Linked DNA regions of Schizosaccharomyces pombe. Changing the gene in region 1 together with any one later gene gives a genetic interaction. Each region holds a gene or a part of one and is shown on either strand. Other genes may lie near its edges.

The links. A genetic interaction does not mean that the proteins touch.
Region 2: of rox3 (region 1) and gma12, changing one suppresses a phenotype caused by changing the other (phenotypic suppression), as found in Schizosaccharomyces pombe (2 studies listed by BioGRID, with this or other methods).
Region 3: mutations in rox3 (region 1) and med7 together harm fitness more than expected from each alone (negative genetic interaction), as found in Schizosaccharomyces pombe (2 studies listed by BioGRID).

What each region holds. Positions count from the first base shown.
Region 1 is NC_003421.2:1,733,699-1,737,304, reverse strand, and holds rox3 (mediator complex subunit Med19), read left to right. Parts: upstream 1-1,992; 5' UTR 1,993-2,121; coding exon 2,122-2,538; 3' UTR 2,539-3,045; downstream 3,046-3,606. Other genes in the region: dao1 (D-amino acid oxidase), read left to right, coding at 1-699; CIA machinery monothiol glutaredoxin Grx3, read left to right, coding at 1,378-1,878. UniProt on the Schizosaccharomyces pombe protein: Component of the Mediator complex, a coactivator involved in the regulated transcription of nearly all RNA polymerase II-dependent genes.
Region 2 is NC_003421.2:315,298-319,511, reverse strand, and holds gma12 (Golgi alpha-1,2-galactosyltransferase Gma12), read left to right. Parts: upstream 1-1,659; coding exon 1,660-2,787; 3' UTR 2,788-3,685; downstream 3,686-4,214. Other genes in the region: msf1 (phenylalanyl-tRNA synthetase), read left to right, coding at 3,859-4,214. UniProt on the Schizosaccharomyces pombe protein: Involved in the O- and N-linked oligosaccharide modification of proteins transported through the Golgi stack. This occurs in cis Golgi where the enzyme transfers galactose from UDP-galactose to a variety of mannose based acceptors.
Region 3 is NC_003423.3:4,170,543-4,176,317, forward strand, and holds med7 (mediator complex subunit Med7), read left to right. Parts: upstream 1-1,817; 5' UTR 1,818-2,099; coding exon 2,100-2,345; exon of another isoform or gene 2,346-2,411; coding exon 2,412-3,296; 3' UTR 3,297-3,456; coding exon of another isoform or gene 3,457-4,905; 3' UTR 4,906-5,246; downstream 5,247-5,775. Other genes in the region: ubiquitin ligase Doa10, read left to right, coding at 1-943; adenylosuccinate lyase Ade8, read right to left, coding at 3,457-4,905; SPOM_SPBC14F5.10C (ubiquitin-protein ligase E3), read right to left, coding at 5,710-5,775.

The DNA.
Region 1 (3,606 bases):
GTCAGAGATTTCAAAGTTATCCCTGAAAAAGATCTTCCAGGAGAATGTATCTACGGACATAAGGCCACCACCTTTTTAATCAACGCTCCTCATTACTTGAATTATATGTACAAGCTGCTCATTGAAGCTGGCGTCGAATTTGAAAAGAAAGAATTGAGTCACATCAAAGAGACTGTCGAAGAAACTCCAGAAGCTTCAGTAGTATTTAATTGCACTGGTCTCTGGGCTTCCAAATTGGGTGGCGTTGAAGACCCGGACGTTTATCCGACTCGTGGACATGTTGTTTTGGTTAAGGCTCCTCATGTAACAGAAACTCGCATTTTGAATGGCAAGAACTCTGATACCTATATTATTCCTCGTCCCTTAAATGGTGGAGTCATTTGCGGCGGTTTCATGCAACCAGGAAACTGGGATCGTGAAATTCACCCTGAAGACACTTTGGATATCCTTAAGAGAACATCGGCTTTGATGCCAGAATTGTTCCACGGCAAGGGTCCGGAGGGTGCTGAAATTATTCAAGAATGTGTCGGATTCCGTCCTTCTCGAAAGGGTGGTGCCCGCGTAGAGCTTGATGTTGTTCCCGGCACCTCAGTCCCCCTTGTTCATGATTACGGTGCTTCTGGCACAGGATACCAAGCTGGTTATGGTATGGCTCTTGACTCTGTCATGTTGGCTCTTCCTAAAATCAAATTGGCTTAGGTTTATTTTTTTATCACGTTTCATATTTTTTAGAGCATTATCTCCCCTCTTTTTATTAGGATAATTGGTCGCTTCATTTGAGGTAGTTTTTATACCAAATTTCGAACCATGTTTTATAGACTTAACGGATTTGTTAAAACGCATTTCAATTCTACGATACACGTGTACAAGTAGTTCATTAGCTTTTGAGAGTTGCTAAATCATGAGGATGAAATAGCATTAGAATGTTGTACATTACCTTTACGTTTTTTGACGATTATTTAAAAAAATTTACATCTTTTGAGAATAATCTGAAAGACTAAAGTGCTTGGCATCCTTAATGCGAGCAAGTAAGGTTCCTTTCCTTCCGTGCCCTTGTTGTAGAAGCATTAAAATAGACTGAGCTTGATTCATATTAACGGTGGCATCTTTGTAGCTTAATTAGTAATTTTTGGGCCTTTAAAGAAGTTTTTCAATCCTCAATCGCAATATCCTAAATTCACCTATCCGCGACCAGCCTACCGTTTGCATACCACAGGTTTTGGGTAACTATCTAAACCAACTGTGAGGGAATTTAATTGTAATAGTTTATTCATTTTATATTATTTTATTTTGCTTTAATCACAATAATTTGATTAATCAGCTGCTTTTCGTCAGCTCATACAAATTACCAAGAGAAAGGAAAGCTTACATCCCATTATGGCTAATAGAAAGATTTTTCTTATTACATCTCTTATAATATCGTTATTGCTTATTCATATCTTCATATTCAGTCCACTGAATGAACCTGAGAAAAATGCAAAGGCAGGACCTTTAGGTCTTTCAGATGTCTCAGTGCCATCTGCTCCTAAATTACCTGCTAAGGATTCAACAGATTTTGAAGTATTTCTTGAAAACCCTGTTATCATTTTTAGTCGTCCTGGATGTCCTTATAGTGCTGCAGCTAAAAAACTTCTAACAGAAACCCTTAGATTGGATCCTCCAGCAGTGGTTGTAGAAGTCACCGACTACGAGCATACTCAAGAGTTAAGAGACTGGCTTTCTTCCATTAGCGATATATCTACAATGCCCAACATCTTCGTTGGTGGTCATAGCATCGGTGGATCTGATTCGGTCCGTGCTCTGTACCAAGAAGAAAAACTTCAGTCTACTTTGGATGAATGGACACATAATAAAGTTTTAATTTTACCTACCGACTAATTTTAATTTTTCAATATATGTTTTGATGCAATTTATTAATTACAATTTATGTTAAATCGATTACCCTTGGAAGTAACTCAATAATTATACTAGCCAAGTATGCTATAGCTTCTTTAAACCACCAACCACTACTCCAAACTATCCAGCTAAGCAACTTAGAGAGTAAAGCATTCATTGCATATATATTTAAAAAATTTGAATGCAATAATATATTCTTATTGTTACATTGGTCAATTTATTTGCATGGCGCAAGCTCCTGAATACCACTATGTAGGTAGTGTAGACTACCAACCGACGAGGCCTTCTGCCCATCAGAATTTAATAGAGCTTTATGGTCTTACGGAACTTGCTAAAAAGGTTGGACGTGTCGATGAATTTGGTAACAAGAGAAAGATGCGTCGTTCGTACAAGGCTTACATCCAAGACTTGCCAGGTTATAATGAAATTCTTCGTGATAATACTATAAAACAATGGCTTACAAACCCTATTCGAGAAGAAGTTCCTATTGACATTGAATTTTTACATCATGTGTTCTCTGTAGAGCCAGGCATTATTCCAGGTTTTAATCCTAAAGTGTTTGGCCTTGAAGACGACGTTGTAATGGGCAATGTTAGTCGTGATTCCTCTCAACCTCGTAGTCCAAGTCGTAGAAAGAAGTAATTGATGAGCCATCAATTGCTCATCAAATCCTAGAAAGCTGTGAAAGTTTGCTTTAAAACTGCAGGTCAAATCCTTAATGCTCTTGCCGAATTTTACTAAACTTGTTGCTTTTACTGAAACTTGTCGATTCTGCTTTCCATTACTCAATGATTGTACTCAGAAGAGCGATAAATATTTGAAGCTCTTTCTGCGGGTTCAGTTATCTGCTGTTTTCAGAGATTTTTCATCGTTTCAAAGCATGGAAACAATACCAAATGATTTAATTACTCTTTAATTTGCGGTCTAGAAAACTTATTTATTACATGGCGTTGTTTCGTTTTTAAAATTCATCTTTGTTTTCTCAGGTTTATTCCTAAGAAGTCGCTTTTAACTTCAATAGTTTAATCTCGGTGATTCTACTAGATTCTCAAGAGACAAATTACTTAAATTCTTTTTCTCATCTACTGTTTAATGTATTCTTAACGTTGTTAACTGAATCATATTAACTTATGTTCTATATGTTGCTAGTTGTTTTATTCATTTTAGTAATACATTTTCAAAGTTATTTTTCTTCATATACATTTCATCGTAAAGAGTATTTTCTAAATAATACCCAATTTTGAGAAGTGTAAAACAATTGTCGAAATAGTAAAAATATGAGTTGATCTACGCAGGACTGTTGCAAAGAACCGCAGCATAAAAAAATGGTATTGGATCATCCAAATTAAACAGATTGTTTCACTTACTGCCCATACATTACAGTCATCAATCGTAAATACCCGACTGGGCTTTAGAGACGTAATTTCAGTATTCATGATTGATGCAAAAAAAATAACTTGTCATACATTTCTATGTCAATTACCATTGCTTGAATTGCATAAAATACACCGTTCGAACCCCATATTTCTTAATTATACAGATTTACACGCTTACAACACGATTGAGGTAAAAAAATCGTACTTTATGAAACAATCGATAGATATAAACCAAAAACAAATTTAATTATTTGCTTTCCCATATCCACACATTCCCCTCTAACATTAGAATATAGAGGAGAAGATCCTTTTGTAATTCCTAAGGACCTCCCTG
Region 2 (4,214 bases), 1.4 Mb from region 1:
TATGTTCCATTAAACATCGAAAAAGGTTTGTTGGCTTTGAATTTGAATGAAGTTACATGCAGTTAAGTTAGCGAAACGATCGATTGGAAATTCCTAAACAATCGGTATGGTATGGGATGGGACTAAATAATTGGAGGAACTTGCTATAAGGTAATTAATAATATAAAGAAGCCGATAATATACAGTATGGTAATAGAAACAAAGCAATGAATCTTGCTCAGTCATTACTAGTTTGCTCTCTAGGGTTAAATTAGTTGGATCAGTAATTTTCAATCGAAACAAAAATATTTAAATAAATACGAATTATGCTTTACTTAGATTTATTATTGTTTTATTTTTATTTATTGCTCTTTTCATCTTTTTTAGAAGTTTTATTGTCTTTCATGTTTGGAATAGAATTTTTTCCCATTAAGCGGCAGTACTAAAAAAAAATTATTTCGATGTCTTTTAAAACCTGAATGATACTATTATATCTCTTTAAACTACTTTTATTTCTAGCACTTGCCATGTTGTTTTGTAATATTGGCTTTACCAGCCATTTGACTTTTTCTTTGTTTACACTAACATCACCGCACCAAAGCGTCAAGAATTTACTGCAGAATTTTACCAAAGAATGTAGAAACTAATTTTCTTTGGAAATTCGGGATTGCATCGATGCACAAGTCACTGACTTCTATAAATACAATTGTTTAGCAAGCTCCCTTTTTTTATTTTCAATAACAGGTAACACGTTTGGCAGGTAACAAGGAGACAATTAATCCATCACTCCAGAAACATATTAGCATTCCCCCCCGATTTAAACCTGGCCTTAACTTACCACCAATTTTTTTTTGCTTAAGGCAATTGGTTTTGTGTTTGTTAACATTCTAATTGTAAGACCTTGACGAAAAACTGGTTTTAAAGGATTTTTTACTGAGCTAATTTATTCGTTTATACGGGCTTTGTTCATTTCGCTTTTGGTAATCTCACTTTTTTTTGGTTTCCAGAGGCATTTTTAAATTTCAATACTTTTTCTTGAGTTTTTGATTTTTGCTTTCTTTTTAGTTTTGCGTTGACAAGTACTGAATTGTAATCTTTATCGTGGATTTAATTAGATTCAAGTGATTTTTAACACCTACATTGCCAAGTAGTATTAAAGTATTCATTTCATTGGTTTGGACTAGTTATATACTTCAAACTGGTGTTTACTTCCTTCTTTCGCTTCTTTTTCTTTCTAAACTTTGCTATATTTTGCCTTCGTTCGTTAGGTTACTATTTATTTACAAATTGAACCTTTTCATATAGGTTCTCTACAGGGATTTTCTTACCATTACTTATTGTAACAGATTTCTTAGTTGAGAGAATATTTTCACTTGGGGGGGTTTTTTTTCTTTTTAATTCACCACACGTATCTAGGTTTTCTACATTCTCTTGGATACAATCTCTTTTATTGCACAGAATCTTCTTTGATTTTCGTCTAATATTCCTACTGTCGGTTCTTTTACCCTTCCTGTTTCTACTTTTTAAAAGCTCTCATATATCACTCATCACCATCCTTTCTCTAATTTTATCTTTCGTTCACTGCTTAATTTTGCATTTCTAAGGAAATTCTCCGTTCCTTTATCATTTTATTTTATTTTGTCTCTTCTATATTATTAGTTTACTCTTGATTATTTGACAATGCGGTTCGCTCCTTATTTAATTAGTGCTGTTGTAATTACAACCATAATCCTGGGTGGAGCTTGGTGGACTTCAGCTATGGATACCAAGCTTCAAACGAAGATGAAGGAGATCATCGACCAACACACGAGTACTTGGACCCCAGTCGTTTCCTCCGTAACCAGTACCCAAACTGATACTTTACGTGTTACCATTAGTGAAGTTGTTAGTGTTACTGCCACTTTAACCGAAACTTTCACTGCTACTCCAACTGTCACTTCTGTAGTTCATGCTTTAGCTACCACTGATCCTCATCCGGATAACTCTAAAATCGTCATTTTGATGGGCTCTAACTTTCAAAATGATGCTAACTCTCCTCTCCATCCTTTCGCTCAGTCCATTATCAAAAATCGTCGTGAATATGCTGAACGCCATGGTTACAAATTCGAATTCTTAGATGCCGATGCCTATGCTTCTCGTGTTACAGGTCATTTAATGCCCTGGGTTAAGGTCCCTATGCTTCAAGATACGATGAAGAAATATCCTGACGCTGAATGGATTTGGTGGCTTGATCATGACGCGTTGGTCATGAACAAAGATCTTAACGTCGTCGACCATGTGCTTAAGCACGACCGATTGAATACCATTTTAACTAGGGAGGCTGAATATAAGAGTGGTGCAGGTATCCCCGCCGATGGATTTAGAACTCCAAAGGATCAGGATGCTAAGGATGTTCATTTCATCATCTCTCAAGATTTTAATGGTATTAACGCTGGCAGTCTTTTTATTCGTAATAGCGAAGTTGGCCGCTGGATTGTTGATTTGTGGTTTGAACCCTTATATTTGGATCATATTCAGGGATATGCTGAGCAACAAGCGTTTTCTCACATGGTATTTTACCATCCCCAGGTGTATAAACATGTAGGTGTTGTCCCACTTAAGGCTATAAACGCATATGATTTTGATGATAATATTTGGGGCTATGACGACGGGGACTTGTGTATCCATTTTGCTGGATGTAACTATTTTAAGAATTGTCCCGAGAAGTTCCTTAAGTATGCTCAAATTTTATCTTCTAAACAAGGATCCGATTGGATGTCTGCTCAAGAAAAGGATCATATTCAAAATCTTTTGAAACCATCATCCTAGTTTTTTTCAGTCACGCATGGAAAAATACCTTGTACTTTAGACTGGTTTAATTTCATGATATTTGTCATTTTACTCAAGAACAACGTCTGTCCAGTATGTTGGTAGTTTTCTCAATTTTTTATTATCGGGGATAAGCAAACTCCTTCTTTCATTACTAATCAAGTCATTTAATTATCCTCCCCTCCTTAGTGAACACCTTAATAGTTTCTCCCTTTTCATGATTTCATGAGCTTAGTATCATTACGTTCAGGACCTTCTAATTTCGTGTTGGAGGATTTTAGTGTTGTCTAATCTATTTCCTTTTCTAAAGTCAAGTTTTGTATCGTACTTTAAGTACAAAGTTCGAGTTTTGCTGTTACGCTTCAAACCGTTTTATTTAATTTTTAAACCCCAGCCTTTCTTGGAGTAAAATGTTAGTAGATGACAAACTTGTTAGGGGTTTGAATGAATTTTCATACGCAGAATGCTGCTTTCTTTAAAATCGGGATGATTTGAAATGTTATTTGAAATGTTGAGTTTTTTGTAGCCTACATTACGATTGTACGGCTTATAGGACAGTGAAGCTATTAAATACTTGATCTAATATGACCGATTACAAGAAAGTCCTTGATAATTTTTCTGCACTTCTTTTGAAGTTGGCAACTTTATGTACAGTATGATGCTCTATCTTTCTAAATAAAGTTATGTCAGGAGTCTTATGGAAATAAAATTTGCAATTCGTCGTAATGAAATCCATTTGAGTGATAATGGCTTTTGAAATTAAAGCATATATTTTTTTTATGCAAAAACAATGAATGAAATATTTGTAAACTGACCAAATCTATAAACCACTGCTTGAAAATTAAACGATTCGAATTTTACTCCTTTGTTCATTGTATCCAAGAACGGCACAACCCCTATATTTGGGTACTATCATTTTTTTACTTTCAAATGGGACGCAATTAAGACCGATTGATTGAATTCTATTAAATTATTATTATATATTAATTTTAAAAATAGTTAGCTTCGTTGTTCTAATTTAAATTATCATTGTTTGATTACAAAAAGTGAAGTGTGTTATTTAAGAAATCAATGTTCCCTCATCGAGTCTCTCATTTATCGAAACTATTTTCGAGAAGGTTTCCCAATTGGAAAAGAAAAGTCCAAACAGATTCTTGGTCCAATGTCCCAGAGCATATTCACTCAAAAATTGGTCGAAACCTTTTTCAAAAAGAAGGTCATCCCATATGCAGTCTACGACAACTTCTCGAACAGCAATTTCAAAAATTCGAAATGAATAATGTTCAAAAAGAATCACCTATTGTTTCTGTAGAGACGAATTTTGATTCTTTAGGATTTCCCAAGACACATGTAAGTAGAAGCAAATCCGATACTTACTATATGAACAATAAAACTTGTCTTCGAACCCATACCTCGGCTCATCAACC
Region 3 (5,775 bases), on another chromosome or scaffold:
AGAAAATGGTTATGAAATTTTTGGTGAAAAAAAGAAGGTCGAAGAAAATGCGGACTATACCATTACTTATGCACCTTCTAATTTTTATAAGCGTTTGATCGCTTTGTTGTTATTTTGTTGGATATGCTCAACACTTGTGACAGTATTGTTAGTGTTTGTTCCACTTTCATTAGGAAGAGCTATTTATGCTTGGTGCTTTCCTAATGTGGTAAAGCACGATTTTTATGCTTACGCCATTGGATTTTACTCTATTTCTTTTCCAATGTATGCAATTCACGCGTCTGTTAAGTTTCTGAAACTTGACTATTTACGAAGCCTTATGAATAAACTAAATTTAAAAATTGTTATGAGGAGCTTAGTAATGGCGTTAAAATATCTTTTATTAGCATTCCTTGGAATATTTATCTTACCACTCTTACTTGGAGCTATATGGGAATTATACGTCGCTATACCTTTCCGAACGATATTTAACAGAGGGACTCTTGCTCTCGATGCATTCCAAAACTGGGTGATTGGTCTTTTTATGCTTCGTATGATATATTTTACTGTGACTTCTAATGAAGAGCGTTTCGTTTCAAGGTTGTTTCAAGATGCTTTTCGTGATAGATGGACGAATCCTCAAATTCTTCCATTATTAAAAAATGTTCTCATCCCTTTTACATCAGCCTTAATAGCCGCCGTTGTGTTGCCAAGTGTTTTTACTTACGTAACCTATCCTTTTCTTTCATCCATTTTCCCTTCTGCATCTAAAACCCTTATGTATCGGTTGATGCATCCTATATTTTTAGCATTACTTGGGCTAGCACTCTTGGGGCGCCGTTTTGTAGAAACTAGTAGTAAATGGTCGCAAGGAATACGTGATGATTTATACTTAGTTGGTACGAGACTGCACAACTTTGGCGAATCTGCTCCTCCAGCCATTTCTGAGTCTGCCGAAAAATAAAAGTCTAGTCATCTACTATTTTTCAGATTATCCTTCTCTTTGGAAAACTGGAGCGAGGACATCTGAAGTAATATAGAGCATTGTGAATGTATATTATTTGAATGATGTTTTTGTTTTAATTGCTACGAAACTGTTAGTTTAGTTGCAGGAAATTACAAAAAGTCATCGTTTGAACAATTGGTTTGTTATTGTTATATTGCCAGGCATCTTATCCAATTTATCGTAACTGGTATTATCATGATATGGTGCTATTTATTTAATTTTCTTTACAAAATTGAACAAATATCAATTATCGTTGAATTTCTTTGATGTATCTGATGACTGTATCAAACCGTAGCAGCGAAAATTTGCAGACAATCACTAGCAATGGATAAATTAGTTAATTACTAAAAAGAAACAGTTATAACAAATATGTTTACTACGGTTATGTGACAAATTTATGAAAATGTAAAAGTTCGTAGTATTGCATGTGTTGATTTTGTAATCCATTCAATACTAACTAATCCTTCGTATAGAGGAATATCAAAATACTTTATCACTTAATCAATTTAAATTTTACGATTATGTTGGCCTAGTAAAATATTCATGTTAAGGATTTTATGGCATTCAACAATAGCGATAAGCTGTAATATTACAAGTAATAAACTCCTACTTAATTCGTTTCCAAGCCCATTTATTAAAAAGAATAATTCAGTGTTGTTAAAAGAAACACTGCAATTCTCTAAAAATTAAAAAAGCCAAGAAGTGTATAATTTTAAGCTACTTTAATCAGTGAAACTAATTTAAAACCAAGAATGATTAAAGATATCGAAATAAACAATTTATAGCAAAATTTATTGGTGATAGAAGCTTTCACTTCGTATTCCATATGCCAGATAAAACTACCCACTTTTACTGACTATTCCAAAATCCATTTTGAGCAAAAGATCGGTTATTTTCAAGTGTTTTTATATTCAGGATTTTCATGTCAATCAGTTATTGAGCGTCATATCGTTGTTCAATTACGGTTTTCTTAACATTATAGAAACTGCTTTTCTAAAAAAAAAAAGAAAAAAAAAGAGCAGGCATTTTTATACTAAGAATCAGCGATAAAAGGGAAGACAGTTACATCAATCTAAAATCTAGTTTACGATAAATACTATTTAACTAAAAGAGAATGGAACCAAACGAAGGAGTACAACTGTTTTCGGCTTTTCCGCCTCCACCTCCATATTATAAGTTATTTACAAGAGAAAACATAGAAAAAGTAATTTCAAATATGGAGAAAGAAGCAAAACATGAGGATGACGCGAATACTTTACAACCTAAGACTGAAGAAGAAATAGAGTCGCTGGCCAAGCTGTTTAAGAAGCCGTCATGTCTCACATCTGGGACTTATCAAATGTTTGGTGACACATGGAGGGTAAGTTTATTTTTATTGTTTTACATTAGCTGCTTTTCATCTCTCACTAACTTATATCGCTTATAGCTAGACGAAGCTATACCTTCACTCAAAGAATTTGGAATCCCTGAATTATATAAAGATATAAAAGATGGAGAAGATGAAATTGAAGTGGTAGAATATGATCCTAAATCCAATGCGATAGTTGGTACTAGTTTTACTCGTGTACACGATTATGATAAAAATTCACCAATTGAAAATGAAAAAATTCTGGAGGATGATCAACATACGGCCATGAAAGAAAAAGATAATGAATCTGATAAGACAATGAAAGATGTCGAGGAAAAGACTGAGCCCTCTCTTAAAAAGGAAGAGGAGGATATACAAATGAAGGAACCTTTAGATTCTCAAGATACTGGAGCTGTTTCAGCTTCTTCGGTAAACGAAGGTTTCCGGGCAGATCAAAAATCAAAGGATGGAGAAACGAGTGATTTGATAAAAATTCCCCGGCGAGCTTATGAACTACGATTTTTATCCCGCTCACTTATGCTTAACTTTCTTGAACTCCTAGGGATTATGGCGAAGGCACCCGAACAGTTTCCTTCTAAGGTTGAAAACATTAGGGTGTTGCTGCTCAATCTCCATCATTTAATTAATGACTATCGTCCACACCAATCTCGTGAATCTTTAATTATGCTTTTAGAAAAACAATTAAAACATGAAGAGTCGCAGGTTGAGCTATTACGTACTCATAACCGGCAAATGACCGAAACTTTGGAAAAGTACAAATCATTAGATTTTAATATGGAGAAGGAAGGAGATGTGATTCAACAATTAAAGTCGTCAATAAAAAAGCCATTGTCAGGCGCTGAAGATGAGCAAAAGTCTAGGTCTATGTTCTCAAAAAATGACGAGAAATTAAAAAAATCGCTTGAATTAATGGAAGACGTGATAAAACGAGATCTTAGCTAATAAACCGGTTTATCTAGTAGAGTTATTTTGCTATTTCCTCTGCTTTTAATATTTGTTTTACAAACAAAAATTCATACTAACGATGAAAAAAATGTATTCTTTCTATTTTAAACAAATCAAAAAAGTTCGTATCCACTACGAAGCAAACCAAAATTTATATTTAAACGGCAAGATCAACCTTTTCCTCAGTGATCATGCTCTTGAAAGGCGCAAGCGCTTGAGAGACGTCCTTATTTACAAAGGATTCAGTCTGCTCGGGAGCACGTCCAACAAAAGTGGATGCATCCAACAAAGAATCTAGCTCATCATAAATAGGAGCAAAATAAGGAGTATTCTTAATACGCTCAATTAAGTCGTTATCCCCTCCCTCTTCCTTGACTACTCGGCCAGCTTGATGAGACAAGACACGAATCTGCTCGTGACACTCATGACGACTAGCACCGTGCTTAGTCATAGCCATGATAATGTTTTCAGTGGCCATGAAGGGCAATTCAGCACGAATGTGTTTTTGAATAACCTTAGGATAAATGACCATACCAGAAATAACGTTCAATAGAATCTTAAGAACGCTATCTGTAAACAAGAAGGCTTCAGGTAACAGAGAACGACGGTTAGAGCTATCATCCAAAGTACGCTCAAACCATTGAACAGAAGCAGTATTAAGAGCATTAGGAATCAAGTTCATAATATAACGAGCTTGAGAACAAATACGTTCACAACGCATTGGATTACGCTTGTAAGCCATAGCAGAACTGCCAATTTGACCAGCCTCAAATGGCTCTTCTACTTCTTTCAAATTAGCAAGGAGACGGATATCAGTTGCAATCTTATGAGCAGTAGCACCGAAAGAAGCTAATGGTTGCAAAACGTCAATATCGATCTTACGATCATAGGTTTGGCCGGTTACAGGATAAACGTTATCAAAACCGGAAAGCTTGGCAACCAATTTATCCAATTCCTCAACCTTGGCATGATCGCCCTCAAAAAGGGCTAAGAAGGAAGCCTGAGTGCCGGTGGTACCCTTGACACCACGGAAACCAATGTCATTTCTAGCTCTTACAAAATTTCTCAAATCCCATAAAAGCTCTTGAATCCAAAGAGTGGCACGCTTACCAACGGTAGTTAATTGAGCTGGTTGATAATGTGTAAACCCAAGAGTAGGAATGTCTTTGTATCGCAAAGACCACTGGCTAAGACGATTGATAACGTTGACTAACTTAGGGATCAAAAGATCCATGGCGCTGCGTAAGAAAATCAAGTCAGCATTATCGGTTACAAAACAGCTAGTAGCACCCAAATGAATAATACCAGAAGCAGCAGGAGCAGCAAGACCATATGTATAGATGTGAGCCATAACATCGTGTCTCTGACGCTTCTCTTCCTTAGCAGCGATTTCAAATTCTGGAGCTGTAATTTTGACATGCGCTTTAAGTTGCTCAATAGCTTCATCAGTAATTTGAGTTAAACCGAGTTGCTTTTCAGCAATGGCGAGATTCAACCACAATTGTCTCCAAGTATTAATACGCATTTCTCTTGAAAAGAGATGAGACATTTCAGCAGAAGCATATCTTGCTGTCAATGGTGTACTATATGAACCATAATCCTCCATATTCGATAATCTTAAGCTCGCCAAAAAATTTCTACCTGTTGTGGTGAATGGACAGTGAGGAACCAACACTAAGTAGTGCTCTACAAATGCTCCACCTTGAGAAGACCATCAGATTTATTATTTTGTAATTTCCATATTAATTAGTTAACGCGCATGAAAAATCAAACGATAATTTATTGTGCCTCCATGCTTCATATGTAGTATTCACCTAACCCACCAAGCAAATCAATTGAAGATCAAGTATAGAGGAGTAAAGGTGCCTTTCCACATATGTTAGCAATATTACAAAAGGGGTTATAAATTTACTTTAACCAATGCCTAAGTAAGAAAAAGACAGAGACCACTTCGTCAATTGAAACTTGTATTCTTAAACTAGTGAATATGAAATGTGAACTAGTAAGAGCAGAAAATTAATTTCTCTATAATGCCAAAATCTACTTCATCAGCAGATAACGAAAACCAAAATTATTTTGGATTATACTATTAAAATATCTTCACAGTGAAAAAGTAATAAACAAAAAACCATCAAGAAAAATAAATATTAAAAGTTGCAAACATCAACTATTAAATAAAGTGTGAAACAAAAAGAGAATTCTTGCTGTATTGGCATGGGTGTTTTTAAATTGGTCAAAGAAATATTCATGACAATCAACCCCAGATATTCTCAGATGCCAAGAATTAAGTGCTCATTTGTATAGGGTAATTAGATGTATTTTGATCGTTTTCGAGATAACCTTTCAGTAAATCAAAGGCTATATTTTATGGCCCATACAAAGGGCGCGCGACTTCAACTACAATTAAAACTCAAGCAATGGTGCAAGCACTTCCAACACGATACCACCAACTTTCTTGAAGTTGAGTTAACCAAAT